7 linked regions of the Oryctolagus cuniculus genome follow. The protein of the gene in region 1 purifies or fractionates together with the protein of each later gene. This does not show direct contact. Links are inferred from orthologs where the notes say so. Each region holds a gene or a part of one and is shown in the gene's direction. Other genes may lie near its edges. The genes, in order: COPS3, BTBD2, DCAF1, DDB2, COPS7A, CUL2 and DCAF11.

Region 1 (4,342 bases):
CCTTACACCCCCACCGTCCACCACAATGACTCCCTGAAGTCATTCAACGACTCCCTTGCAAACAGCAAGCTCCTTCCCAAGGCAGAGGCTTAGAACAGGCTGTCCTCTCACTCAGAAACACCCCTTCCTTCCCCGTGCGTTAATTCTTCTTTCTTCAGAGCTCAGCTGGTGGCATGTACCCAAGAAAGCCTTCCCTGTCATGCCAGGCCAGTCCCTGGTTTCCTCTGTTCCTTCAGATCACCCAGCCCTGTTTGCTAGGGTCTTTACGAGCTCATTTTCTACAGAAAGACCCGGAATGTTCCAGCAGGAGCTCAATAAATAGTTGTGGGATGCAGGTTTTTTTTTTTTTTTTACAGTGAGAGGTAGAGACAGAGAGAAAGGTCTTCCTTCCATTGGTTCACTCCCCAGATGGCCGCAACGGCCAGAGCTGCGCCGATCTGAAGCCAGGAGCCAGGTGCCTCCTCCAGGTTTCTCATGCAGGTGCAGGGGCCCAAGGACCTGGGCCATCCTCCATTGCTTTCCCAGGCCACAGCAGAGAGCTGGATTGGAAGAGGAGCAACCAGGACTAGAACCAGCGCCCATATGGGATGTCGGCACTGCAGGTGGAGGATTAACATACTGCACCATGGCGCCGGCCCCGGGATGCAGTTTTAAAACGTCCCGCTGTGCAATGTAAGGCTCTTAAGAGGGACCTGAGAGAAGCAAGAATGTTTGACCTCGAGACCTGGACGCTGACGACAGTATGGACAGTGGAGGGAAATTTCCCCAGCAGAAGTGACTGCAAGACGGGCACCAAAGTGCAGGGGGGAGAGGCCAGTGAAAGCACAGAACTTGCTCCAGGCGGGGCTGTGGCATAATAGATCAAGCCTTTGCCTGCAGCACCCACATCCCATATGGGCACGGGTTCGAGATCCGGCTACTCCCTTTCTGATCCAGAGCAGTTCTCTGCTAATGCACCTGGGAAAGCAGTAGAAGATGGCCCAAGTGCTTGGGGCCGCCCCAGAAGAAGCTCTTGGCTTCTGGCTTGGAGTCAGCCCAGTTCCGGCTGTTGCGGCCATTTAGGGAGTGAACCAGCAGATGGAAGATCTCTCTCTCTCTCTGTAACTCTGCCTATCAAATAAATAAGAAGCTTGCGCAGACACAGCTTCCCCAGGCCTAAACCCAGACTGCCTAGCTCCAGAGTCTGCGTGAGTCTTTATCACCTCACAAGCAAAAGCCTTGGCAATCTCCCTGCGAAGAATCTGGCAAAACGGAGACTGGAAAACCAGCGCTCCCCACCTCCATTTAAAGCGGGGGGGAGGGAGGGGTTTCACAGATGCACAGAGAGAAGCGAACTTCCGGCGCTTCGACAGGGCGCGGAAGTGTTTCCATGGAAACGGCAACAGGCTCCCGGCGTGGGGAGCTCTCGCGATGCTTGTACCGGCGGAAGTGACGTAGCCACACTCGAGGCCCTCTGCTGGATCGCGGCCGCCTTTTCCCGCGCGAGCTGCCTGCGCCGCTCGGGCCGCCCCGGGGGAAACATGGCGTCTGCCCTGGAGCAGTTCGTGAACAGCGTCCGGCAGCTCTCGGCTCAAGGTGAGGGCCCCGGCTGCGGGGCAGGGAGGGTGTGGGCGGGCACGGGGGACGGGCCCTGCATCCACAGGCGCCAGCGCGGACGGCAGGGACCGCCCATTGAGTCCCAAGCTGCTGCTTCCCCGGGGCCGGGCGAGCGCGGCCGAATGTGGCCGGGGCCCTCGTGCTTTGGAGCGCCGTTGTCCCCGCCCGCCGGCCTCCCTGCCCTCGAGCGGCCGGGCCCCTTCCTCCCCTTCGGCCCGGGGCCCCTTTTTCCACCGGGTGCTCCGCTTGACAGTTTGGGGGCGGGACTTCCGCCGTCGCCTTCCCGAGCGCCCATTGGCTCCCGGGGGCCTCCCGTGCCTTCGGTGATTGGCGCAGCGCCCTGCCGGTCTCCGCGGCGCTGGGTCGCCTCCAGGCTAGGCCTCGGGGAGCCGGCGGGAGGCGAGTTCTTCCCGGGCGCCTTGGCTGCCGGGCTCGCCTTGGCCGGCGCAGGCTCGGGAGCCTCTGCGCTTATTTTGGTCCCACGGCATGCCGAGGGAACTCGCGCTCGTAGGGCTGCATTTCGAGGCGTGGGGTTGCTCTCCCGATGTTTTGTTCTTTCACGTTGGTTATGTCAGCATCTGAGACAGCAGGGCTCGGGGTTAGAGCAGTTAGATGCTGGCCGTGACGACCCTGTGCGAGTCCCGTGGTGAGGGTGGATGGAGAGGACCCCCGTGGGAGCAGTCGGGACCTGGGGGAGAGGGTGCAGTAAATGCAGCTGCGAGTGATTGCCGGTAGCCGTTAGGTGCAGGTTCTCAGGAGCTGCGTGACCTTGGACGAGCCACCGTTAACCTCTTCGGGCTTTTTTTTTTTAGACACAGCTAGAACCTTGCATGGGCGCCTGGGGTGGGGCTGGGGGGAGGCGGCCCCGTGTGCCAGGCAGAGGGAAATGTGGGTGACCTGACTCGGACCTTCCCGTGAAAGGAACGCGGGAAGTTCCTGCTTTTCTGTCGGGAGGCCGCATCTGTGGCCGGACACGGCTCGGGTGCGCGCAGTGGCGCCTAAGCCTCCGTACTCGGGGCTCTCCCCGCGGCCCCAGCAGTGATTTTGTGGGCACCCAGCGCGTCCCGGACCGCTGTGACTGCGTTCCCAGCTGTGAGCGCCCACCAGGGCCAGCTGTTCACGTGGAAGGAGCCCTTTCCCCCCGACCAGCGAGGTCTTCCCCGCCCAGCCTGTGCCGTCTGGAGGTGATGCCCTGCAGGATGGCAGCTGTTTGTTCGCTCTGGGTTTGCAAGCACGTGTGGTAGTGATGGGATACTAACTTTGTTTTTGGTCAACTTACTCAGTATAAAAGTGTCCTGGCCCGGCCGGCGCCGCAGCTCACTAGGCTAATCCTCCGCCTTGCAGCGCCGGCACACCGGGTTCTAGTCCCGGTCGGGGCGCCGGATTCTGTCCCGGTTGCCCCTCTTCCAGGCCAGCTCTCTGCTGTGGCCCGGGAGTGCAGTGGAGGATGGCCCAAGTGCTTGGGCCCTGCACCCGCATGGAGACCAGGAAAAGCACCTGGCTCCTGGCTCCTGCCTTAGGATCAGCGCGGTGCGCCGGCCACAGCGCGCCGGCCGCAGCGGCCATTGGAGGGTGAACCAACGGCAAAGGAAGACCTTTCTCTCTGTCTCTCTCTCTCACTGTCCACTCTGCCTGTCAAAAAAAAAAAAAAAAAAAAAAAGTGTCCTGGCCCAGAAGCCCCCGGAATTAAATGATCAAATACCCTGCTGCAGTTGCTGGGTTTCAGGCTTTCTGTTATTTTAAGTGTTCTTTTAAAAATGGGAAAAAGACCCAGCTACTGTATAGACATACCGGAGCAGGAGACTTGAAGTTAATGTGCTTGGAATTATTATACGCCTACCACCACCACCAGAGAGACAGAGTGTGGCCAGGGCGCCAAAAAATAACCATTAAGGGGTGGACCTTGGGGCACAGTGGGTTAAGCCGCTGCTTGCAGAGCCAGCATCCCATATAGGTGCTGGTGTGTGTCCCGGCTGCTCCACTTCCGATCCAGCTCTCTGCTCTGGCCTGGGAAAGCAGTGGAAGATGGCCCAAGTCCTTGGGCCCCTGTACCCACGTGGGAGACCCAAATGAAGCTCCTGGCTTTGGCCTGGCCCAGCTCTGGCTGTTGCAGCCATTTGGGGAGTGAACCAGCAAGTGGAAGATCTCTCTCTCTCTCTCTCTCTCTCTCTCTCATTCTGCCTTTCAAATACATAAAACAAATCTCGAAAAAAAAAAGTACTTGTCAAAATCTATGGGTCTGCCTTACTAAAGTGCCGGTGCAGGCCTCCCTGGCTTCTGTAGCTGTTAACACAGCGTAGTGGTGGGGGGGACAGATGGATGGATGAAGTAGCAGCTTAATTCACAAGCTGGTAAGCGGTGCTGCCTTCTGACGCTGGAGGAAACGGGACAGTGCCCCCCCGGGTTGCTCTGAGTGACTGACCACCGCCAGCCCGTGAGGTAGCAGAGAACAGCCACCCACTAACGGGAGAGAGGGTTGAGGTCACAGCCGTTGGGCAGGTCGCAGAGGGTGTGGGGGCGAGAGGTGGAGACCCACACGTGTGCGCAGACTGAGCATGGACTCTGGGCTTTCTGAGCGTCGGTGAAGTAGAAGGAGGTAGGTGAGGCAGTCTGGGGCATTTGGACTGCCTTTTTAAAAAAAAAAAAAAAAAGATTTATTTATTTGGAAGACAGAGTTGACAGAGAGAGACACCCACAGAAACAGAGATCTTCCGGCTGTTGGTTCGCTCCCTAAATGTCTACAACA
Region 2 (4,419 bases), on another chromosome or scaffold:
CTGGCTCTGCGCGAGGGCGCTTCCCACGCCGTGCGTGGCGGGGCAGGGGCAGGGGCGCGGGCGCCAGTCCTGGCCGGCGCTGAGTGAAGCTGCCCCCCCACCCGAGTGGAGAAGCGCCCGGGAGGCAGAGGAGGCGCTGGCCCCCGCGAGTCCCCCAGCGGCACCGCCCACACTCGCGCGGCTCCCGGGGAGCAGGCCAGCGGTGGGGCCGGCGCACCCCGGGGTCCCAGCCCCCGCTCATGCGCACCCCAGTCCCAGCCCCTGCTCAAGAGCACCCCGGGGTCCCAGCGCCACTCCCCGCTCATGCACACCCTGGGGGGCAGCGGTGACCGGTGAGCGCCCTGCACCCCCCCACCGGAAACCCCACAGGGCTCCTGGCCCCAGCCCGGCCCAGCCCTGGCTGCTGGCATCTGGGGAGTGGACCCGCAGAGGGAAGACCCCTCTCCGTCACTCGCCTCTCAAATAAATACAGCAAAGCCTTAAAAATAAAAATACGAAGAGTGGGCGAGACTGGGGGGGATGCGGGGCAGAATGAAGCGTGTGGCGGGGGAGGGGCCGGCCCGATGAGCCGCGTGGGAGGCGCTCCCGGAGCCCCACCTTAGGCTCTCCTAGCTCCGACCTGCGCGCGCGGTCCGTGTTTTGGGGTCCCCTAGACCCGGAGTCCTGGGTCACCGGAGTGTCCCCTGCTGGCGCCCGGCGCCCTCGAGGGTCCTCGTCTGTGTAGGCGTCCCCTGCGCGGGGCAGTCGGACACGGATCCAGGATCCAGGGCCTGACCCGGAGTCCGCGTGCGCAGCTTAGGGCGGGGGTCGCGGGTCTGAGGCGAGGGGCTCACCGTCTGCGGTCTGGGGCTCAGGAGTCACGACCTGGGTTAGGGGTTCGGGTCCAGTGTGTGATGCTGGCGCCGGGGTCCGGGGCTCAGAACCGAAGCCCCCTCTCCACAACCCGCCCCGCCCCCCGAACTCTCCACTCCCCCGCCCCGCCCCTCATCCTGTCCCCTCCCATCGGCCCCGCCCACCAAGCTCCGCCCAAGGCCCGCCCACTGGGCTGCGCTCCGTCCCGACTCTCACTTCCCGTGCAGCCTCCCTGGCCCCGCCCCCGGCCCGCCTCCTGTTCCCTCCCATCGGCCCCGCCCACCAAGCTCCGCCCAAGGCCCGCCCGCCGGGCTCCGCCCCGTCCCCAGACTCCCACTTCCCGTGCAGCCTCCCAGGCCCCGCCCCCGGCCCCGCCTCCTGTCCCCGCCCTGCCGCCTCCATCGGCCTCGCCCCCAGGCTCCTCCCCAGGACCGCCCGCCGGGCTGCGCTCCGTCCCCAGACTCCCACTTCCCGTGCAGCCTCCTGTCCCCGCCCCCGGCCCCGCCTCCTGGCCCCGCCCTCCCGCCTCCCATCGGCCCCTCGCGGCCCCGCCCACAAGGCCCCGCCCCCGCGCCGCAGCGACAAGATGGCGGCGGGAGGCAGCGGCGGGCGCGCGTCGTGCCCGCCGGGGGTCGGCCCGGGCGCGGGGGGCGCCCCGGGGCCCAGCGCCAACGCCGCCGCGCCCGCCCCGGGCAACGCGGCCGCCGCCGCCGCTGCCGCCGCCGCCGCTGCCGCCGCCGCCGCCGCCGCCTCCGCGCCCGGGCCGGCCCCCGCCGCCGCCGCCGCCGCCGCCGCGCCGGGCCCCGGGGCGGACGCGCAGGCCGCGGGCGCCGAGCGCGAGGAGGCGGCGGGGGCGCTGCTGCGCGAGCCCGCGTACAACTGGCAGGCGTCGAAGCCCACGGTGCAGGAGCGCTTCGCCTTCCTCTTCAACAACGAGGTGCTGTGCGACGTGCACTTCCTGGTGGGGAAGGGGCTCGGCGCGCAGCGCGTCCCGGCGCACAGGTGGGCGCGCGGCCCGCGCCGCAGGCTCCCTCCCCGTCGCGAGGCCGCCCTCCGGGAGCGCGGGGGGCGTCGGCTCGGGAGCAGCCCCTCCTGGGGCCCCCGCGGTGGGGCCCGGGCTGGGGGCGCGGGGTCCCCCCCCCGGGGCGTCCCTGCCCGCGTCGGGGTCCTCGGGCGCCGGCCTGCCGTGCGTCAGGTCACCGCGCGCTGCTCCGTCATCCTGGGAGCCGGGCCGTCCCCCGCGCGACGCCCGGAGCCAGCGCCGGCGGGGTCCAGCCGGGGTCAGGGGCTCGGATCTCGGGGTGTGAGTGGGGGGCGGCTGCTGGGGCCCCGGGCTGACCTTGGCTTGGGGGCCCTCGGAGAGCGGGGGACCACGGTGGGGACAGGTGTTTCGGCCGCAGTGGAGGGGGCCTGGGGTCCGGGCGCGGCCGCCTGAGCAGCAGTGAGGGGCGCCTGGCCTGGCCCCGGGGGCTTTGAGGTGCAGGGGGAGGTCTGGGGGCGTCCGGGGGGCCGCGCAGGTCCCGGCTTCCGTGGAGCCGCCGCCATGGTCTCGGGTGTGTGGCTGAGCGCCCCCGTGGGGGCAGGTGCAGGACTGGGGGCCCAGCCTGCCGTGCCTCAGTTTCCACTCCTGTGCAATGGGACCCTCAGTGCGTCCCCCCCCCCCCCAGTCTGCTGGGACGCCCTGGCCCAACACAGGGGTCCTGCGCTCTCCGCTCCCCGCAGGGTGGGCTGGGCCGCGCTACTCCCTGGGAACACAGGGCAGCCCCCCGAGGTGCGCTGGGTGTGGGGGGCGGCCCTGGCCTCCGGGCCCCCCACCCCCGCGTCCACACCCGAGGGTCCCCAGGGTGCGGCTGGCGCTGTTTGCAGGTGGGGCAGCGGCGCCCCCTGTGGCAGCGTCCGGGTCAGACAGGAGCGGGCTGGGGGCAGCGGAGAATCCCCCCCCCAAGGCTGGGCTCCGGGACCCCAGAGAGGCGGGGAGGCCACAGCCCTGCCCACGCGCCGCCCCGGCCTTCCTCACGGCCGCCCCCGGTAGCGGCCACCGGGGTCCTGCGGGGTCCTGGCGGGGGTCCTGGCGGGGGTCCTGGCGGGGTCCTGCGGGGGTCCTGCAGGGTCCTGGCGGGGGTCCTGGCGGGGGGGGGTCCTGCGGGGTGCTGGCGGGGGTCCTGGCGGGGGGGGGGTCCTGCGGGGTGCTGGCGGGGTCCTGGCGGGGGTCCTGCAGGGTCCTGGTGGGGGTCCTGGTGGGGTCCTGCAGGGTCCTGGCGGGGTCCTGGGGCGTCCTGGGGCCCTGGGCGAGGATGTTGGGTCGGGATGAGGCCTGAGTGCCCGTGCGCGGGAGGCGGCCCCAGGCCTGGTCCCCCCACGGCCGCTGTGGGAGGCGGAGCCTGGGGCTCGTGGGTCCCGGTGGGGCGGTCCCAGTAGCTGAGCGCGGGCAGCTCCCCTGCGCTGGACTGGGCGGCGCTGCCGCCACTCACCCCTGGGTGCGCCGGCATCAGCAGAGGCGCGCGCTTTCGTTCCAATAAAACTTTACTTGTGAAGGCCAGCAGGCCGAGCCGCCCGGGCATCCCGGTGGGCACCGGCACGAGTCCGGGAGTCCCGGCTGCTCCGCTTCTAATCCGGCTTCTTGCCGGCGGGCCTGGGAGGCAGCAGATGAGGGCTCAGGCCCCGGGCAGCCCGGACGGAGCCCCTGGCCCCTGGCCCCGCCCAGCTGCTGCGGGCAGTTGGGAGTGAGCCAGCGGTGGACGCTGTGTCCTGCGACTCTGGCGGCCGCTGTGCTGGGCGGCTGGCGCTCCCCGGGGTCGCGGCGTGTGCGTGCCCCTGCCGGGCTTTTCCCGGAGGCAGACACGGCTCCCGCGGGCTGGGCTGGGGGCTCAGCCCAGGCCTCCCCGGGGCGGCAGGGGCCCCAGCGCCATCCGCTTTGGCGGGCAGCTGGGGTCAGGAGCCGGCGTGCGGCCACTTGGTTCGTTTGCTTGAAGGCGGGTTAGGAGGAGGCAGGCGGCCGCGCTGGGCCGGCTGGGCCGCCGATGCCCCACACCGGACTCGGTGCAGGTCGCTGGGTTCGGGTCTCCGTGGCCGCGGGGCCGGTCGGGGCCGGTGGTGACTACGGTCTGGCCGGCAGGCGGCTGTCCGCGGTGAGGGCGGCGTGACCGTGCTGGTCACCGCACGCTTTGAACCCGGCGACACCCGGCGCCCCCGCCTGGTGCCGCTCCGCGGGCCCCCCCCACGCCCCGGCCAGGGCTCCCCCGCGGGTGCAGGGGCCCAGCACGTGGCCATCTCCGCTGGTGCCAGGTGGAGGCTTAGCCCGCTGCGCCACAGCGCCGCCCGCAAATCCGTCAGCCTCGACGCAAACGGGCCGCGGGGGAGGCCCCGCCTGCAGGCCCGCACCCCACGTGGGCGCGGGTTCGAGTCCCGGCTGCTCCACTTCCGGTCTGGCTCCCTGCTGTGGCCTGGGAGGGCAGTGGACGATGGCCCGGTGCTCGGGCCCTGCACCCGCGTGGGGGACCCGGATGGGGCTCCTGGCTCCGGTCACTGAGGCCATAGAGTGCCCCGGCGGATGGGAGCCGCCCGCCC
Region 3 (3,701 bases), on another chromosome or scaffold:
AGCAGTTCATTTGGGGAAGCTAAGTACTAATAAAATCACAGCAGTATTTTTCATTTCTTGGTTTTTTACCTTCTTTGAAACTGTTGGAATCTTAATTGTTAGATGCTTTTTGTCTAACCAATATTGGCTTTGTTCTTTTGTAAGGAGGTAGTTGTCTACTTAGAGAACTCTTGCATTTAGCAGCTTAATATTGTGTCAAGAGGTAAGTTTTTTTTTTTTTTTTCTGGATTGTTTGATGGTAACTTGTGTCCTTATTGTTCAGCACTTAGCATCTCTCCTGCTCCATAACAAATTTGCCACAGAATTTGTTGCTCATGGTGGAGTACAGAAATTGCTGGAAATTCCTCGACCGTCTATGGCTGCAACTGGTGTATCCATGTGCTTGTATTACCTGTCTTACAACCAGGACGCCATGGAAAGAGTAAGTCCAGTCCAGCTGGATGTATGGGAATGAGACTGGGTGGAAAATAGTCTCTCTCCCCCTTTTTTTTTTTTTTAAAGATGTATTTATTTATTTGAAACACAGAGTTAGGCTGAGGCAGAGAGAGAGAGATAAATAGATCTTCCATATGCTGGTTCACTCCCCAGGTGGCTGCAACAGCTGGAGCTGTGCGAATCTGGAGCCAGGAGCTTATTCTGGGTTTCCCATCTGGATGCAGGGGCCCAAGGACTTGGGCCACCTTCTGCTGCTTTCCCAGGCCACAGCAGAGAGCTGGATTGGAAGTGGAGCAGCCGGAACTAGAACCCGGTGCCCATATGGAGTGCCAGCACTGCAGGTGGTGGCTTTACCTGCTATACCACAGCACCGGCCCAAGAATAGTCTCTTTAAAAGAAGTACATTCACAAAGCCGTTTGGTACCTTGGATAAGTCACCACTTGGGATACCTGTATTGCATATTGGAGTGACTGGTTTGAGTCTTGGATGCTCTGCTTTCATTCATAGTCAGGGTTATAGAGAGATTTTCCATCTGCTGGTTCACTTCCCAAAAGGCCACAATGGCTAGGGCTGAGCCAGGCAGAAGCCAGGATCCAGAAGCTTCATTCAGGTCTCCCATGTGGGTGGCAAGGGCCAAGCACTTGCACCATCTCTGCTGCTTTCCCAGGCTCATTAGCAGGGAGCTGCATTGTAAGCATGATAGCTGGGACTCAAATCAGCGTTTATATGGGAGATATTGGTGTTGTAGGTGGCAGCCTGATTCCCTGGACCAAAGTTCCACCCCAGTTCTGCTTTCAGTGCAGCTTCCTGCTAATGCACACCTCTGGAGGCAGCAGATTTTGGCTGCAGTACTTGGGACCTGGCCACCTATTTAACAGACCTGAATTGTGCTCTGGGCGCTGGTTTCAGCCTGGCTCATTCTTGGCTCTTGTAGTCTTTTTGGGAAGTGAATTAGCAGATGGAAGATCTCTCTCCATCTGTTTCTTTGTTTCTGTCTCTCTGCCCTTTAAATTTAACACTTTTTTTTTTTAAATTTTTTTGCCAGGCAGAGTTAGAGAGAGAGGGAGAGACAGAGTTATAAACAGAGAGAGAGAAAGGTCTTCCTTCCATTGGTTCACTCCCTTAATGGTCACTACGGCTGGTGCTGCGCCGATCCGAAGCCAGGAGCAGGGTGCTTCCTCCTAGTCTCCCCTGTGGATGCAGGGACCCAAGCACTTGGGCCATCCTCCGCTGTCCTTCCGGGCCACAGCAGAGAGCTGGACTGGAAGAGGAGCAACTGGGACTAGAACCCGGCATCCATATGGGATGTCGGCGCCGCAGGCGGAGGAGTAATCAAGTGAGGCACGGCGCAGGCCTCTGCCTTTTAAATTTAAAAGAAAAGAACACATTTATGGAATGAATGTTTGGCTTAGCTGATAAGTTGCAGGTTAGAATACCTTTATTCCACACTAGACTGCCTGAGTTTGGAGTCTTGGCTCCCTAGTCCAGCTTCCTGCTAGTGTAGAACCTGGGAGGCAGCAGGTGATGGCTTAAGTAATTGAGTTTCTGCCACCCACATGAGAGACCTGGATTGAATCCCCTGTGTCCTGGCTCCTGGCACTGGTCCTGGCCAGCCCCTTTTCCGACCCCCGCTGTTGTGGACATTTAGGAGTGAACCAATGGAATGAGAGTTCTTTGTCTCTCAAACTAAAAAACAAGTGCATTCACAGAACAACTTTTGGATAAGAAGAAAAGTATAGTTGAAGAAGTAAGTTCTAATGAAAGAAGCAAGGTACATGAATGATTTTCACAAAGCATTCCAAATACAAAAATTTTATGTAGACAATGATCTAGTGTTTTTTTTTTTTTTTTTTTTTTTTTTCTGATTCTATGGAAAAATACAGGATGAATTGGAGTCTAAGGACTTTAGTTTTTGGCAGTTCTCAGGCATTAAGATTAGTCTACAGCTACTTTTCAGATGTCATTCAGTGGAGTTAATATTTTATATCTTTGAGTCAATCTATTGTAAAAGCAATAGACTGCCTGGTATGTATTAACAGTTTGTGACGGATATAATTAAATCTTCCGAACTGTTCTCAGGGTTGAAGTGATTCTGCATTTGGTTCTTCTGTTTTTCCAGTTAAGACCCTTTTTATATGTAGTGATTTTTTTTTTTTTAAGATTTATTTTATTTATTTGAAAGAGTTACAGAGGGGTAGGGGTAGAGGTAGAGAGAGAGAGAGAGAGAGAGAGAGATCCATCTGCTGGTTCACTTCCCAAATGTCTGCAGCAGTCAGAGCTGAGCCCATTTGAAGCCAGGAGCCAGGAGCTTCCCAGGCACACTAGCAGGGAGCTGGATTGGAAGTGGAGTAGCTGGTACTTGAACTGGCACCCATATGGGATGCTGGCACTGCAGATTGGGGCTTTAATCTGCTGTGTCACAGCGCCGGCCCCATGTAGTGAGTTTTTTAAAAAATGTAAGTGGATTATACATTTGAAAAATGATGGTCCCTTGCACATCACTAGGGAACTGTTTTCATTTCTGTGCCTGGAACATTTTCCTGATATTTTTCTGGTGAAGAGTGAAGCTGGTAGTTTCTCCCTTTTTTTTTTTTTTTTTTTAAGCTTTATTTATTTGAAAGGCAGAATGATGCAGAGAGAGAAAGATAGTTTGCATTTCCTATCAGCTAGTTAATTCCCTAAATGTTCTCAATAGCTAGTGCTGGGTCACACTGAAGCCAGGAGCCAGGAGCTCCATCAGACTCTATCTTGTGGGTGTCAGGAACTCAAGTACTTGAGCCTTCCCAGTGCTTCCCAGTGCTTCCCAGTGCTTCCCAGTGCTTCCCAGGTGCGTTAGCAGTAAGCCAGATTGGAGGAAGTGTAGTAGTTAGGACTGGAATCAAGCATTTTGATGTGTGATGCAGGCATTCTCAGGGGTGGCTTAACCTGGTGTTCACAGTGCTTGCCCTGGCAGTTTCTTCTTGAGCTACACTTTATTAGTAAGATACCCAATTTTTATTTTAACTTTTTTCTTTTCTTGAGTTTAGCATTATACAGTGATAGGTAGCCTTCTGAAAATAGGAAATCTGTATGTGTACTCGTACATAAAAAATTAATTATGGCTAAGATACAGAAAAAAGTATTAGGCAAACCTGGGGAGTGCTTTACAGCTCATTCGCTAACGCACAGAGTGTGCGAGTGAAAGAGTTAATACTAAACTTGCAGACTTTGTATCAGTAGACCCAGCCACTTTCATGACCTTGAGGGACGTCTCTCATGTTAAATG
Region 4 (4,186 bases), on another chromosome or scaffold:
CCCAGGATACTGGGAAATCCCAAAGCACTGGTATGAGCAGTGCTCCTTAGCTCCGCCCATAAATGCAAATCATCTAGCTGGGAGAACCTGTTAGTCATGGGAAAAACTCATGCTAGCTAAGAAGGTCCTGCAGTTACAAGTATGCTTCTTACCTTGCCGTCCGTGTTGCATAATACAGGTCTAGCTGTCCTGCTTGCCTGCTGCTCCAGTAGTCAGTTTCCACTAGTCCTGGCTGCCTGCTGCTCCTTTGAAATATATTTGATAAGTCTAACCCTGCTCCCTCTATCTGATTGTTCTATTGAATTCTTTTGCTTTCTGGGACACCAGCCTCAATCAGTGACAAGAAAAAATGCTTCCAACTATTTGGCTCAAGCCAGGAACCAGAAACCCCGTCCAGGTCTCCCACACGAGCTGCAAGGACCCACCTGCCTGACCTGCTGCTTCGTGGTGTGCGTTAGGAGGAAGCTGCAATCCAAGCAAAGCCAGGACTTGAACTCAGGCTCTTGGATAGGGGATATGTGTCTCAAGCGGTGTCTTAACCAGCACGTCAAACCCCCGCCCAGCATACTGAGTATTTTGAGCCGACAGCACCTGAACAAACAGCAGTGCAGGAAAGCCTCCTTCCCCTTTCTGCCTAACAGGAGGTCATAACATTTCCCATGAGGAACCAGGAAGAGAGAACAGTCTCACCACCAGGGACTGGGAGTCCACACTGAAAGGGACCTGGCCAAGCTAATCTTGCACTAGTCCCACCCACGTGTTTTCTAGTCACTGCCTCACAGTTCACCGCCCCTAGCTCAAGCCTCGGTCACATCTCCACAGCTGAGTGTCCTCTGTGTAAGAAGAGACATGGCACAAGCCTTGGGCCTGACGGCCTCTTTGGGTCTTCATTTTCCTTTTAAAGTCTCCCAGGTACGTGCAAAAACATGAAATAGAAGGTCTCTGCGCTCTCCCGTTAATCCGTGCCACGTTGGTTTAAATCTTGGGCCCCAGCGACGCCGGCAGCGAGTCCTCCCCTACAGCATCCTGATCAGCCTTATCCCTAGATAAGGTAGATAAGGGCGGGTAGCAAGCAGCAAGGCTGAAGGTGTGGCTGGCTCAGCGGCCGCCGTTAGTTTCCGTATTGGCCGAAACAGGGAGAGTTCTGGTCACTTTTGTGTTTTGGATCGTGTCCGTGTTACTATCTGTGTTCAGACATGAGCGGTTATGCAACGCGCGGCGCATCACAGAGGAGACATCCCAATCTCCAAGAAGAAAAAAAGAAAAACCCAGACGCCTGCCGGAGAGCGGAAGCTCCGCCCTTCACGCTCTTCCAATCGCCGCGCACGTCCCGCCTTCCCGGAAGGGGCGTGTCCCTCCGAGAGGGGCGGAGCCAGAGTCAGAACCAAACAAGCTCCGGGCATGTTTGGCGGGAAGTTGGCTTAGTTGGGCTACCTGTAGCCGCGGGGGTTTCGGGCTCCCCGCTTTGCCTCTCCCGGCAGAGGCTTTTCAGTCCTCCCTCCGGGATCCCTGCATAGGACGCCCCTTCGCACGGGCGGCGCGATGGCTCCCAAGAAACGCCCCGAAGCCCAGAAGCCCCTCGAGGTTGTGCTGCGCCCCCGGAGCAAGAGGAACCGAAGTCCCCGAGACCCAGAGCCCGAGGCCAAGAAGCTGAACGTCACGGGCTGCGGTACTGCCTGTGCTTGCGGCTTTAATGCTTCCGCCATTCGGGGGGCCCAGGCCGGAGTGGGGGATGGCTCCGGGGTTCCTGGGGCAACCCCAGGGATCGGTGCCTCAGGCTGTGCTTTTTGCCTGCAGGCCCTTTGGCCCCGGGGAGCTGAGGTTTAAAGAGCCCCCTCCTCGCCGGGAGGAGGAAACAGATGAGCCCCCCTTCCAGTCCTTGTCTGTCTGAGGCGTTTTACACCCTGAGGGCTGCCTAAGTAATCTACCTCTCCTGGCGCGGCGGGTGTCTAGTTCTGTGGCCTTGGTTTTAGCTGGGACAGCCTCCTGTTGCCTTCCTTAGAAAGCTCCATCTCTGAGGTTTCCTGGGGTTTGAACTTGGGGCTGTAAGGGGTAATGGGGGAACCCAAGACTGGGGCAGGGGGTTGCGGATAACGTGGTTTTTGTCCTTGAGAAGAAACAAGAGGTTGTCAAAAAGACCCATAGAGACTGAAAATGCAGATACAGTTAGATAATCATCTAGACTCGTCTACTTCCTGTTCTAAGTTGATGTCACCTCTACACTACTTTAATCCAGCATTTAAAGTGACATCTTTTTGGAGACAATCACTTGCATTCTGCTGTCCAAAAACCATTTTTGTTGTGCGTTATATGTGATTTTGTTTTATTTATTCTGGGGAGAGACAGAGAGCTCCCAGCCGCTGGTTCACTCCCCAGATCCCTGCAACAGCCGGAGCTGGGCCAGGCCAAAAGCAGGAGCCAGGAACCCCCATCTGGGTCTCCCAAGTGGGTGGCAGGGACCCCACTACTTTGCAATTTTAAAATTGGCACCCAACCCCATCTACACTGGGAGGAGTTCTACAGTGCACTTTATTCCTGTGTGTTTCTTTGCCTCAACCCTCAGGAACCTTGTAAGATCACACTTAGAATTAACGGTTTTGGGGAAGGGACTGAGTCCTACTATTTCTTGTGCCGGGTGAAGTAGATAAACAGACCATGGGAAAGCCCAGAGGTGATGGGACCGGGTGGCTCTAGTGACTGCTACAACAGGACCGCCTGAGATTTCACCAGGAAAGCCTTTCCTGAGACTGGAGGGGAAAGTATGTCTCTGCTCTTCTTGGCAGCTCCTGGCAGAAGATCTGACTCAGACTGCCTCCCGGCGGGGTTGCCCGGCCTGCAGGACCCGCAGCCCTGCAGCAGCCTTGTCAGGGCCTTGCACCAGCACAGGCTGGGCAGAACTGCCTGGCCATCGCTGCAACAGGTGGGTGTTTCCTGGCTGGTGTGCTCCAGGGTTTGCATGGTATTTTGTTTTGTTTTTTGGATGCTCCAGAATTGGTTTTTGTCAAAGTGGTCAGATCACACCCCTCCCCCCCAACCGTGGTGGTGACGGGCCCGCTGGGAGCTCAGCTAGATAGAAAAGTCTTAGATTATAAAGGTCCCAGTGGAATGCACCTCTGCCCCTTTGCTTTCCAAGAGTAGGTCACGTATGTTGCAAATATTTTCATGTACAGGGCCAGGCAGTTACTTTTCCTTTGGGGGGGGGGTGGGTGGGATTTGGCCCTCAGGCTCATCTGTGAAGGCAGAGATTGGCACTTTACCAGTTTGCCTGGGACTTGGTGTGTGTGCGTGTGTATGTGTGGGGGGGAGGTTGTGTTTAAGATTTGTTTATTTATTTGAAAGACAGAGTTACAGGAAGAGAGAGAGAGAGAGGGCCTGCATCTGCTGGCTCACTTCCCAAATGGCTGCACAGTCAGGCTTGGGCCGGACTGAAGCCAGGAGCTTCTTCCCTGTCTCTGACATAGGTGGCCGGGGCACAGGCATTTGGACCATCCACTGCTGACTTCCCAGACACAGTAGCAGGGGTCTGGATCGAAAGTGGAGCAGCCAGGACATGAACCAGCACCCATATGGGTTGGCGGCATTGCTGGGGGTAGCTTAAACCGCTACAAGACTTAGTAGTTTGGTTGCATAACCCCAGGACTTGGGTTTTAATTCAGCTTGATTCTTTTCTCTCTGCGGCAGGGTCTCCAGCAGTCCTTTTTGCACTCTCTGGCTTCTTACCGGATATTCCAAAAGGCTGCCCCCTTTGATAGGAGGGCTACCTCCTTGGCCTGGCACCCGACTCACCCCAGCACCCTGGCAGTGGGTTCCAAAGGGGGAGACATCATGCTGTGGAACTTTAGGGTAAAGGAGAGACCCACCTTCATCAAAGGGGTAAGCTTTCTCCTTGCTAAAGACGGGTTTGTTACAGGAATGAAAGGAATGTTGGCATCACCCAGTAAAGAGATGATTGGGGTTGAACGTTACTGGGCATTGTCAAACGCAAATGTGTACACGGTGTGGTACTCAAATATTAGTTTGAATGCCTGCCCTTGAAATATTAAAAGGTATAGACTATTGCTCACCCATGGAATCTGACCTCTTTTCTTTACTTCTGTGGTTTAACCACACCATCTATTTCTATCCCTGAAAGGTGGGGGGGGGGGGGGGGAGGGCGGATTCTCTGCACTTGCTGTTTCCTGTGGCG
Region 5 (3,661 bases), on another chromosome or scaffold:
CACGCTGGCTGCTAAAGTCAAGGTGAGTGGCAGTCTCCCAGGTCTAGGCATCCTTCTCTGTGTCTGGGAGGTGACACTAGGATGTCCCAGGACCAGACTTGCCTCGTCCTGCCCCCCTCAGGGTCTGTCTGGAGTCCATCACCGAGCCATTTAGGCTGAGCCTTCTCTTAGTTTTCTCTTTGTAAGTTTTCAGTCACCTTAAGTTCTAAGTAAATATCTTTTGTATGCTGCTGAAAGTGGCAACGAGGGTGCCATGCATGTGTTGTACAATTACTTCCGTTCCCACGGCCTCAGCTGGAATAGGCTCTCTTCTGACAAGGTGCCAGGCTTCTGTTTGGTGGAGTAAGACATGCATATAACGCAGAAGGATCTCTGTATTCCTGCTGGCCTCAGTTTCCTGCCACACCCCCCAAGCTGAGGTTTCCCAGTTGTTATTTGACTGTCTTGTTACTGTCCTGACTTGATTTAAACCGAGCTCTGCATTGTGCAATGCCTGTGCAGAGGTCAGACTTCTCCCCTGCCGCATATTCCCACCGTGCCAGGGTGATCTTGATGCAGGGCTGCCTGAGCTCCTGAGCTGTGGCCAGAGGAATGACCCCAGACAGGTGTCGCTTGCTTGCTCGCTCTGGTCTGGAGAAATAGGGTGGTAAGGGAGCTTAAGTCTTGTGTTTTATTTAAGATTGGCCTTCTCATGCTGTTTTCTTGAGGTGGGAATACATTTACTTATTCTGCCCTAGAGGAAGTGGTATAGGAACAGAGCGGAGGGCAGATGAGCCAGGGCGGAGGGAAGATGATTTCTGGAAACCCCTTCCTGCTGCGGCTCCTCACAAATCCTGGCCTCCCGGGCCCAGTGCATCCCATACGCAGTGTTGCTGGAGGCGCTGGCCCTGCGGAACGTGCGGCAGCTGGAGGACCTGGTGATCGAGGCCGTGTACGCGGATGTGCTCCGCGGCTCCCTGGACCAGCGCAATCAGCGGCTGGAGGTGGACTACAGCATCGGGCGAGACATCCAGCGCCAGGACCTCAGCGCCATCGCCCGAACCCTGCAGGAGTGGTGAGAGCCGAGGGCGGCACTGTCCCTCCCCTCCTCACCCCAAGAAAGGGAGAGGTACTTCAGGGCAGGAGAGAGCAGGGGCTGGGCTGGGCTGCGACCCAGGAGGCTGAAGCAAAGTGAGCCATCCCTCCAAAGGCATCTGAGGCAGGGATGGAGGCGGCCCAGGGAGGCAGGAGGCAGTATCCTTGGTAAAGTGCATGGGGAGGGAGCGGGGATGCTACCCACGTCAGTCACCTGTCTAGGCTGGATTCAACTCATTGGTTTGTGACCGCCGTTGGCCACAGGCCTCTGCTTTGCTCCTGTCTAACCTCACTGTCCGTCCTCATTCATCCCCCACCCCTTTGGTTTTCCGCTTCTCCTCCGACTTGCCCAGCACTTGCGGCACTTCCCTGCCACTCTCCTGTCCCACCTGAGGGTCTGTCTCACTGGGGGGACTGCTGTAGGTGGTTGCCAAGGCCCAGCTCGGACAGGGGTTAGATGCTGGGAGCTACGGGTCTTTTGGAGTCTGTCTGTCATGAGTGTGCTCGCAGCCCTCTGTGCTGACGCGTCTCCTCGTCCCACCCTGCAGGTGTGTGGGCTGTGAGGTTGTGCTGTCAGGCATTGAGGAGCAAGTGAGCCGGGCCAACCAGCACAAGGAGCAGCAGCTGGGCCTGAAGCAGCAGATTGAGAGTGAGGTGAGCAGGGCTCACCCACACTGCCCCAGCCTGGGCCACTTGTCCTGTGCAGAGGCGTTTGGACCATGGCTGTAGCAGACAGGTCAGATGGGCAGAGTCTATCATGTTCCGGAAACTTCTTTGCTCCCCCCTATGGCTTTCATCCTGGTAGGTTGCCAACCTTAAGAAAACCATTAAAGTTACCACTGCGGCAGCGGCTGCAGCCACATCTCAGGACCCTGAGCAACACCTGACTGAGCTGAGAGAACCTGCCGCAGGCACCAACCAGCGCCAGCCCAGCAAGAAGGCCTCAAAGGGCAAAGGGTGAGCCGGGCAGCGGAGCTCTTGCCCTGGGGCACTCCACTCAGCTCGGGGCCCCAGCTGCTCTTACATCCTCTCCTTTCATCCTTTGCATGGGGATAGGGAGTTGGGGGAGGCTTTGGGGGTAGGGAGTCCCTGCACCCATTCTCTTTCTCTTCCCCTTGCCAGGCTCCGAGGGAGTGCCAAGATTTGGTCCAAGTCGAACTGAAGGGACTGTCATTTCTTCCTTGGGACTGTGGGTCCCAGCTGCCTGCCTGCCCTTAGGAGTTCTCAGAGAGCTTTCCTGTGCCCCTGGCCAGCTGATAATCCTCAGTTCATGACCTTTCACCCCCACCCCCACCCCCAAGCAGATCACACCTTCTCTGGGGAGGAGGCAAGTACAGGTCACATTTTTATTGGTACTTTTGTTTTATGTGACTTTCTAATGTGTTGCATTGCCCCCTTCCCCATCGTGCTCTGTTTCTTTAAGAGCTCGACATCTATCCTGTTCCTTACATCTGTCGCCAGGTAAGGGGCTAGCTCTGACGGGGCTTGCTCTGTCTCCAGCATAACCCACAGGTGTTCCTTCTCCTGCCATGTTGCTGCATGCCTGTCCCCCCCATCACTCCCTACCCCCACCTATGGGTGGCATCTCAAGGGCCATGGGCCCTTACCTTTATGCCCACCCTGAGAGTTTGGGAGCCGGCTTGCCATTCTGAATGACTGGACACTTTCATCCTAGAATTCTCTCACACTACGGTTGTCTCCTCTCCTCCTTCTTCCCCTTGGATCCTGGGAGTGCTGCAGCTTCAGTAACCCCAGAGCCCAAGGAGGGCAGCTGTTATTAGGATGCTGAGAGATGGTTCTGTGGGCCCTGACCATCTTGGGAAGCCTGGTGGCAGTCCTGCAAGGCTTTATGTCCCCTGTTGTGACTTTGGTGGGGAAGGGAGGGCATATAGATTGTATTTAAAAAGGTGTATATGCATATATCTATATATAACATGACACAGAAATAAATCTATGAGAAGTCTATCTACACACATGTCCTGCACTGGGTATCTTCTGTGTTTGATATTTGTGGATGGGAAGAAGACTCATTCCCAGTCTACTCTAAAAAAGGGCTGGAAAATGATGAGAACCAGATTCTAAATCCCGAGTCCTGGTGCCCTGTGGCTTTGGACAGACTGCTTCATACATGAGCGCTCCTTCCTGAGCACCCACGTGTGCCGGTCATGCTCCCTGCCTCCTGCATCATAAGAGAATCCTCAGGGGAAGATTGATGACGAACTTGGATTTCACATCACAGTCACAGCCATCGTATCTGGCAGGAGCACGCAGTTGGGCTCCTGCCCTTCTTCCAAGTTAGGACTTCGCAGGAAGTCTGCTAGCCTGGCCCAGAGTGCTGCCGTGAACGCCTCGGAACCGGGAGGCTGTGGCGGAGGCGGCAGGGAGCCCTCTCTGCAGAGCTGGTGCTGGTTGTCTAGGTGGAGGCTGAAGAGAGACCACTCCACACCGGCCCTGCAGCTGTCAGTCGTGGAGCCAGCCAGTAGGAGTGGGGTCTTGAGGTTTTGATTAAAAGTAGACTGGGTGAGCTTAGTGGGTTTTTTCTTGTGTTTTATGTTTATTGTCACCTACTTGACAAGCAGAGCTAGAG
Region 6 (3,120 bases), on another chromosome or scaffold:
CGAAAGGCTGGAACAGGAAGCCAGGGGAAAGTGAGTCCCATGTGCCCTCAGCCCTCGTCAGGACGTGTGGTCTGGCCTGGCGCTCTCCAGACATTCCCCACCGAGTCTCTGTTTTCCCCTTGTGAAAGGGAAGTTTTACAACTCAAGTTCCTGTGAAGAGACGTTGTCATGTAGCAGGTACCATGACATGTAAGACTGTGTTTATTTGAAGGACAGAAATGATCCGATAGAGCTCCTGCAAGGGCTGGAGCCAGGAGCCACGAACTCCCTCCAGGTTTCCCAGGTGGGTGGCAGGGACCCGTCACCTGCTGCCTCCCAGGGTGCACGTTAGCAGGAAGCTGGAATCCGGGAGCTCGTGGGAGCTGGGAGCAGACGCACAGTATGGAGTGCGAGCAGGCTTCCTGGGATCCCAACCAGGGGCCAGATACCTCCCTGCTTCTCAAACTGGAGGTGCACGGGAACCCCCTGGGCATCTTGCTCGAGTGGTCACTGCCCTCTCGCATGTCCACAGAGGGGTCTGCACTCCTGGTGAGTCGGTGTCAGTGGTGGGCATCTGCTCTTGATTCTTGGAACTCAGCACTGGGATGGACAGTTGACCTTACTCACGTCTCCTTGTTGCCTTCCACGTGCAGTCACTGGGGGCAGAACCATGTGTGAGATGTCAGACCCTCACCAGAACCACCGCCCTCAGGTGCAGACAGACCCCCAAAATGGTCATTGTCCAGTGTTCCTTTGGGCTGATGAATAGAGATGCAGTACATGTATTTTATCTTTTAAAGGGGTTAGGAAATGCCAGTGCTACGCCTGCCTTCCACATGTTTCCGTGCAGACAGGCACTCTGGCCCATCCTGGCTTTTTCTGCTTGAGCCCAACAGAGCCTGCCCGGCTCTTCCTATCAGTCCCAGCAGGCACCTGGGGCCGAGGGCCGTGGGCTGGAAAACCGTTGCTGTCGCGTAGAGGTCTGCCTGACGGCTTGCTTTCAGTAACCCTTCAGCTTAAGCTGCATGAGCGCCTCTAACAGCCCTTCAGCTGGAGCCTCGCGAGTGGCGTCTGACCCGTCCCGGTGGTGTTTGGGCAGTGGTCTTGTGACTCTGGGCGCTGCATAACCGCGTAGTTTGATCAGAAATGTATTCCAAGTCACTGGCAAGGGAACAGAGTACAGCTTCCGTGCCTCGATGTCTCTTTTGCAAACTGTCGTTCTCCTCTGTGCACCAGGAAATGGAGCAGACAAGAAGTGCCGTCGATGAAGACCGGAAGATGTATCTGCAGGCTGCTATAGTTCGAATCATGAAAGCGCGGAAGGTGCTTCGGCACAACGCCCTCATCCAAGAGGTGAAGGGAGGAGTGCCCGGGCTGCCTGGGGAGCGGGAGTGGGAGCGGGAGCGCGTGTGCCTGCGTACCGAGGACGGTGCCCACTGCTTCTCAGTGGGAAGTTCAGATGTGGATGGGCTTACGTGTAGAGGTCGAAAGCCCAGTGAGTTACTGACTCCTGCTGTTGAAGGGATTTGACCACATCCAATATTCATTCATTCATTCTGCAAACCGCTGAGTGTCCACTGTGCCTGCTGGGGTCCTGGATAGGTGCCAGGGGTGCAAGACATGGCAGCCCTGTGCAGCCCTAGGCTAGCAGAGCACACAGCCCCGTGAAGACGTGGGCAGAGTCCTGCCTGGGGCACTTTGGGGGCCACCTGGAGCATTGGTTGAGAGCTGACTGAGAATCAAATGGGAGCTGGGGTGTGTGTGCGCGTTGTTTCTAGTCCAGTGCGCCTGGGTGTGGATAATAGGTCTCGTGGCGTCTGCGCTCTGCGCTTTTATTCCTGCACGACGCCAATGACAGGTGTGACGGCTCCCTCCCCATGTGCACTGCCTGGGCTGTTCCAACAGGGACCGCAGGCCACGGCACTCCCCGCTGGTCACCTCCTTCCTCTCCCACTGGTTCTTTACCACAGTTTGATGAGCAGAATTTCCTGCCCGCAGCGCTTGTCTTTCCCTGTCGGGCGAGGCCCCGAGGCGCTTTGCGGCGTCCCTGCTCCCCGCCGTCGGGCGGCAGTGGCGTGACGTCCTGTCTCTCCTGCAGGTGATCAGCCAGTCGAGAGCCAGGTTCAATCCCAGCATCAGCATGATCAAGAAGTGCATCGAGGTCCTCATAGACAAGCAGTACATCGAGCGCAGCCAGGCGTCCGCGGACGAGTACAGCTACGTCGCGTGAGGGCGGACGTCGCCGTTGGGTGTGTCCTGTGGGAAGGCGGGCCTGGCCCCATCACCCGGTCACGCGGCAGCCCCTGTTTCTCTGCTGTTTACAACATCACCAGTGCCACGTCATGAGCGTCCAAGAAAATGCCTAGAGAATATTTGAGGCTCATGTCATTAGGACATTTCTTAAAACTCTATCGAAAGAGGGAATGAAGCGTCGCTGACGTGTGGAAATCGGGTTGGGTGCCATGCTTCTTCTCCCCTTCATGTTTGCAGTTGATGTGTTTTTTTTTTAATGTATCTTAAAGGACATAAAATAAAAACTTAAATATTGTAATATGACAGATAACCTAATAATTGTATCTACATTAAAATGACAAACATGATATTGCTGCTTGTCAAATAAAAGAAAATAAAGAAATAGGATGCCTCTTTGTACGTGGAGGGAGTGCCCGGCCGGCCATGCGTGCTGGTGCCGAGGCAGTGGGGAGCAGCTCACTCCCTCCCCTCCCACGTGGAAGAGCGCGGCTCAGCGCACGGAGCGCGTCCCTTCCGTGGATGAGAAGGAGCCGGTGAGTCTGAATATTGAGGGAACGATTCGCCGGGAGCTCCCGGGGCCACGCGCGCCACACAGAGTGGCAGGAGAGGAGGCTGAGCGGACAGAGCTGGCCTGTGCTCCGTGCTGCGTCGTGCCAGCGTAGCCCCAGCCTGCGCTGTCGGAGGTCCCGTGACGCTCGCGTGTTCCTCCCCTCTCCTGCCCGCCTGACCCCTCATGCCACCCTTCCGTGACTCACGCTGGGTCTGCTCCGGGAAGGCACAGGTAACCAGGATACCTTTGTAAAGGTCTGGTGAGTGCGTTTCACAAGGTGCAACTTAACGTAGAGACAAAAAACATGTTATCATGTGTATCTACGCAGTATTAGAATA
Region 7 (3,136 bases), on another chromosome or scaffold:
TACAGGCACATTGGGTGGGCTGGGGCACAGTTCTGCAGACTCTCCTCTGGGGCTGGAGGACCTAACAGGAAACTCTTTTTGGCACTCACAGTGGACGCAGCCCCTGACACCCGGGAGCTGGAATGCAATGAGATCAAGACGCAGGTGGAATTGGCCACAGGGCGCCTGGGACTTAAGCGGGCAGCCCAAGAGCACAGCTTTCCTCGAATGTTGCACCAGGTAGGCCTCTCCACCTCCAGCCGGCCTGGCAGCGGGCCTGAGGCAGCCAGCACCAGAGAGAAAGGAAGTCAGCTTCCCAAGGAAGCCTCGGTGCTTGGGCTGGAGAGCTCCCCCGGGAAGGACTCCTGTGTGTGGTGCCTGTCCCTGTGTGGCGAAAGCAGCATTCGTGGAGGAGGGGGCTTGGTGTGACTGAAGTGATCTCTCTCTGCTAGCAATGTTCCCCAATCCCTTCCATTTAGAGAGAACGGGGCCTCTGCCACCGGGGAAGCTTCTCCCTTGGCGAACAGTCTCGAGTGATGTCTCAGTGAGTATGGGGCTCGGCGGGCAGACCAAGGGCCAGATAGGTCTGATCCGAACTTGGAAGGGGCAGATGTTAAAGGGCCTCAGAGGCGTTCAGGTTAGGTTAAATGGGGTTGTAGCTCTAAGGGGAGACAAAGCGGAAAAGTGTAGAGATGTAGGACGTGGCGGAGTGGATCAGAGGCCGGGGATCGGTCACAAAGCCGAAAGGGAAGACTGCCCTCGGCCTGGAGCTCCTGCTCTGTTAGGATTTTGCGAATCGGGACGCTCCTCATCCCGAGCCCACCTCAACCCCGCTTTCCTTCTGCTTCCCCAGCTTCTTGCCCAATGATCTGGGCTTCACTGATAGCTACTCTCAGAAGGCTTTCTGTGGTATCTACAGCAAAGATGGGCAAATCTTCATGTCTGCTTGCCAAGGTACCAGACCCTGGTCCTGTCGACTGCCTTTCCCTGGAACGAGGGACATTCCCCCTGAGCAAGGCTAGAGAGCCCCAGACCCAGAGCTCAGAACCAGGCTTAGGATTGCACAGTCAGGGCTCCTCCCCACCCCCCAATAAAGGGAAGACTCCGCAGACACTCTGAGTGATGGAGGTGTGACCCAGGACGGATCCAAGGAGGGCGCTCTATGACTCTGATCCCTGCCTCTACAGACCAGACAATCCGACTCTATGACTGCCGGTATGGCCGCTTCCATAAGTTCAAGAGCATCAAGGCCCGGGATGTGGGCTGGAGCGTCCTAGATGTGGCCTTCACCCCTGATGGGAACCACTTCCTCTACTCCAGCTGGTCTGATTACAGTGAGTGTGTGTGCCAGATTTCTGTTGTCTCTCCAGCCTATGATGAGGTCTCCACGCACTGGTCTCTTCTCAGCACAGCCCCCTGCCTTGTTCCAGGAAGATCAGTCTCGGAGAGCTCGGACCTCCTTGCCCTTTGTCCTGTCTCTTCCCTCGCTTCGTTTCCGCTCTCCTGCCCCCAGCCCTGAAAGATTCTTGTTTCTCTTGCTTCTCTTAGTCCATATCTGCAACATCCACGGGGAAGGAGACACACACACTGCCCTGGATCTGAGGTACTGGCTTCCCTTTCTGGTCATCCTCATCAGAAACCTCTCAAGGAAGGCGCTCCAGGAGGCGACCTCTTGGCCCAGAGCTCCTCTTAAAGGGGAAGGGTGGTGCCGCAGATCCCTGGGCAGGCACCACCCAGCCCGCAAGCCAGAGGAGCAGGGTAGATGAGATGGCTAGGTTCTCTCTGAGATGATCCACGTTCCGGCACGTGCTGAGCACGAGGCTGCGCCTCACCGTCCTCAGTAGGTTCTGTGTAGAGGGGAAGGCCACGTAACCCCACTCCTCGTTTGCTCTCTCCAGGCCGGATGAGCGTCGCTTTGCCGTCTTCTCCATCGCGGTGTCCTCAGATGGACGAGAGGTGCTGGGAGGGTGAGTGCTGGGGGATGTCTCCTACAGTCGAGGAGATAGGAGTTCTCCCAGAGTTGGGCTCTGCTGTTGCCTGTTGCGCAGCCTGCACTGGCAGCCATTGGGAACACACAGCTCATCTCCAAGGGCAGGGCTTACAAGCTGTTGTACCTCTTGCGTGCCATTTCCCATCACGATGGGAGGTGGCGGGCCTCCTGGGAGACAGCGACCCGACCCCAGCCTGCTGTGTAGAGCAGCTGCGGGCTCGCCTCTCAGCAGGACTCTTCAGAGCATCGGTCCTCTCAGTCTGGCTCCACGAGCCCCTTGTCTCTTCCCTTCCAGGGCTAATGATGGCTGCCTCTATGTCTTTGACCGAGAACAGAACCGGCGTACCCTTCAGGTATCACTCGAGAGCTTGAGAGCCTCTGCCTCGTGGTCTCTGGCTTACTGTAGGGTTTGGAAAGCGAATGTCAAGTATCCTGGCCTCCTTTTCCCCTAGATCGAGTCCCATGAAGATGATGTGAATGCAGTGGCCTTTGCTGATATAAGCTCTCAGATCTTGTTCTCTGGGGGTGACGATGCCATCTGCAAAGTGTGGGATCGACGCACTATGCGGGAAGATGACCCCAAGCCTGTGGGTGCGCTGGCCGGACACCAGGATGGCATCACCTTCATTGACAGCAAGGTGGGCAGAGAGGCAGGATGCAGAGCCAGGCAACCAAAGTTCTGGTTGCCCAAGATGGTGGGAACATGAACTGGTGTGGGAATTAGACACCATTCGCAAGCCTTGACTAATACGGTGCTTGTTAATCAAGGCTTGCAAGAGCTGGAACTTATGGAAGGAACCAAAGCCAGGAAACATGAGCTCTGTGTGTACCCACCAGTTCTCAAGGAGCAGGGCAGGGCTTTCTGTGTAAAAAAAGTAGAAGACGATCTAATCCAGGATAGAATAGAAGTTCCAGCCAGTGAGTGCCCTGAGCAAAGAGAGGAAAACCCAGCTGGCGGGTAGGATCTGAGACAGAGCGTCGAAGGTGAGCTGACCTGGATAAAGAAGCAAGCAAAATCAGAGGCTGGAGTTCTTCCTTTTCAGCGAGGGAAGGGGAACGAGAACGCACAGGCACTGACATTTGCAAGTTCCAATGCCTCATTACCCATCTTGGGATTCCCAGGGTGATGCGCGGTACCTCATCTCCAACTCCAAAGACCAGACCATC

The links.
Region 2: the proteins of COPS3 (region 1) and BTBD2 purify together in Homo sapiens (affinity purification with mass spectrometry; 3 studies listed by BioGRID and IntAct, counting the BioPlex papers as one, with this or other methods). This does not show direct contact. The link is inferred for Oryctolagus cuniculus from reciprocal best matches to the Homo sapiens genes COPS3 and BTBD2.
Region 3: the proteins of COPS3 (region 1) and DCAF1 purify together in Homo sapiens (affinity purification with mass spectrometry; 5 studies listed by BioGRID, with this or other methods). This does not show direct contact. The link is inferred for Oryctolagus cuniculus from reciprocal best matches to the Homo sapiens genes COPS3 and DCAF1.
Region 4: the proteins of COPS3 (region 1) and DDB2 purify together in Homo sapiens (affinity purification with mass spectrometry; 7 studies listed by BioGRID and IntAct, with this or other methods). This does not show direct contact. The link is inferred for Oryctolagus cuniculus from reciprocal best matches to the Homo sapiens genes COPS3 and DDB2.
Region 5: the proteins of COPS3 (region 1) and COPS7A purify together in Homo sapiens (affinity purification with mass spectrometry; 14 studies listed by BioGRID and IntAct, counting the BioPlex papers as one, with this or other methods). This does not show direct contact. The link is inferred for Oryctolagus cuniculus from reciprocal best matches to the Homo sapiens genes COPS3 and COPS7A.
Region 6: the proteins of COPS3 (region 1) and CUL2 purify together in Homo sapiens (affinity purification with mass spectrometry; 5 studies listed by BioGRID and IntAct, counting the BioPlex papers as one, with this or other methods). This does not show direct contact. The link is inferred for Oryctolagus cuniculus from reciprocal best matches to the Homo sapiens genes COPS3 and CUL2.
Region 7: the proteins of COPS3 (region 1) and DCAF11 purify together in Homo sapiens (affinity purification with mass spectrometry; 3 studies listed by BioGRID and IntAct, counting the BioPlex papers as one, with this or other methods). This does not show direct contact. The link is inferred for Oryctolagus cuniculus from reciprocal best matches to the Homo sapiens genes COPS3 and DCAF11.

What each region holds. Positions count from the first base shown.
Region 1 is NC_091448.1:66,272,950-66,277,291, reverse strand, and holds the start of COPS3 (COP9 signalosome complex subunit 3), read left to right. Parts: upstream 1-1,347; 5' UTR 1,348-1,520; coding exon 1,521-1,575; intron 1,576-2,638; exon of another isoform or gene 2,639-2,780; intron 2,781-4,342. UniProt on the Homo sapiens protein: Component of the COP9 signalosome complex (CSN), a complex involved in various cellular and developmental processes.
Region 2 is NC_091447.1:58,986,806-58,991,224, reverse strand, and holds the start of BTBD2 (BTB/POZ domain-containing protein 2), read left to right. Parts: upstream 1-1,431; 5' UTR 1,432-1,438; coding exon 1,439-1,854; intron 1,855-4,419.
Region 3 is NC_091441.1:98,115,736-98,119,436, forward strand, and holds part of DCAF1 (DDB1- and CUL4-associated factor 1), read left to right. Parts: intron 1-262; coding exon 263-421; intron 422-3,701. UniProt on the Homo sapiens protein: Acts both as a substrate recognition component of E3 ubiquitin-protein ligase complexes and as an atypical serine/threonine-protein kinase, playing key roles in various processes such as cell cycle, telomerase regulation and histone modification.
Region 4 is NC_091432.1:18,730,475-18,734,660, reverse strand, and holds the start of DDB2 (DNA damage-binding protein 2), read left to right. Parts: upstream 1-1,349; 5' UTR 1,350-1,542; coding exon 1,543-1,669; intron 1,670-2,783; coding exon 2,784-2,920; intron 2,921-3,681; coding exon 3,682-3,873; intron 3,874-4,186.
Region 5 is NC_091440.1:102,789,042-102,792,702, reverse strand, and holds the end of COPS7A (COP9 signalosome complex subunit 7a), read left to right. Parts: coding exon 1-22; intron 23-851; coding exon 852-1,054; intron 1,055-1,622; coding exon 1,623-1,728; intron 1,729-1,879; coding exon 1,880-2,031; intron 2,032-2,196; coding exon 2,197-2,236; 3' UTR 2,237-3,045; downstream 3,046-3,661.
Region 6 is NC_091444.1:107,511,540-107,514,659, forward strand, and holds the end of CUL2 (cullin-2), read left to right. Parts: intron 1-1,215; coding exon 1,216-1,332; intron 1,333-2,077; coding exon 2,078-2,209; 3' UTR 2,210-2,614; downstream 2,615-3,120.
Region 7 is NC_091443.1:51,073,853-51,076,988, reverse strand, and holds part of DCAF11 (DDB1- and CUL4-associated factor 11), read left to right. Parts: intron 1-91; coding exon 92-219; intron 220-458; coding exon 459-523; intron 524-832; coding exon 833-933; intron 934-1,166; coding exon 1,167-1,313; intron 1,314-1,527; coding exon 1,528-1,582; intron 1,583-1,877; coding exon 1,878-1,946; intron 1,947-2,264; coding exon 2,265-2,322; intron 2,323-2,421; coding exon 2,422-2,607; intron 2,608-3,091; coding exon 3,092-3,136. UniProt on the Homo sapiens protein: May function as a substrate receptor for CUL4-DDB1 E3 ubiquitin-protein ligase complex.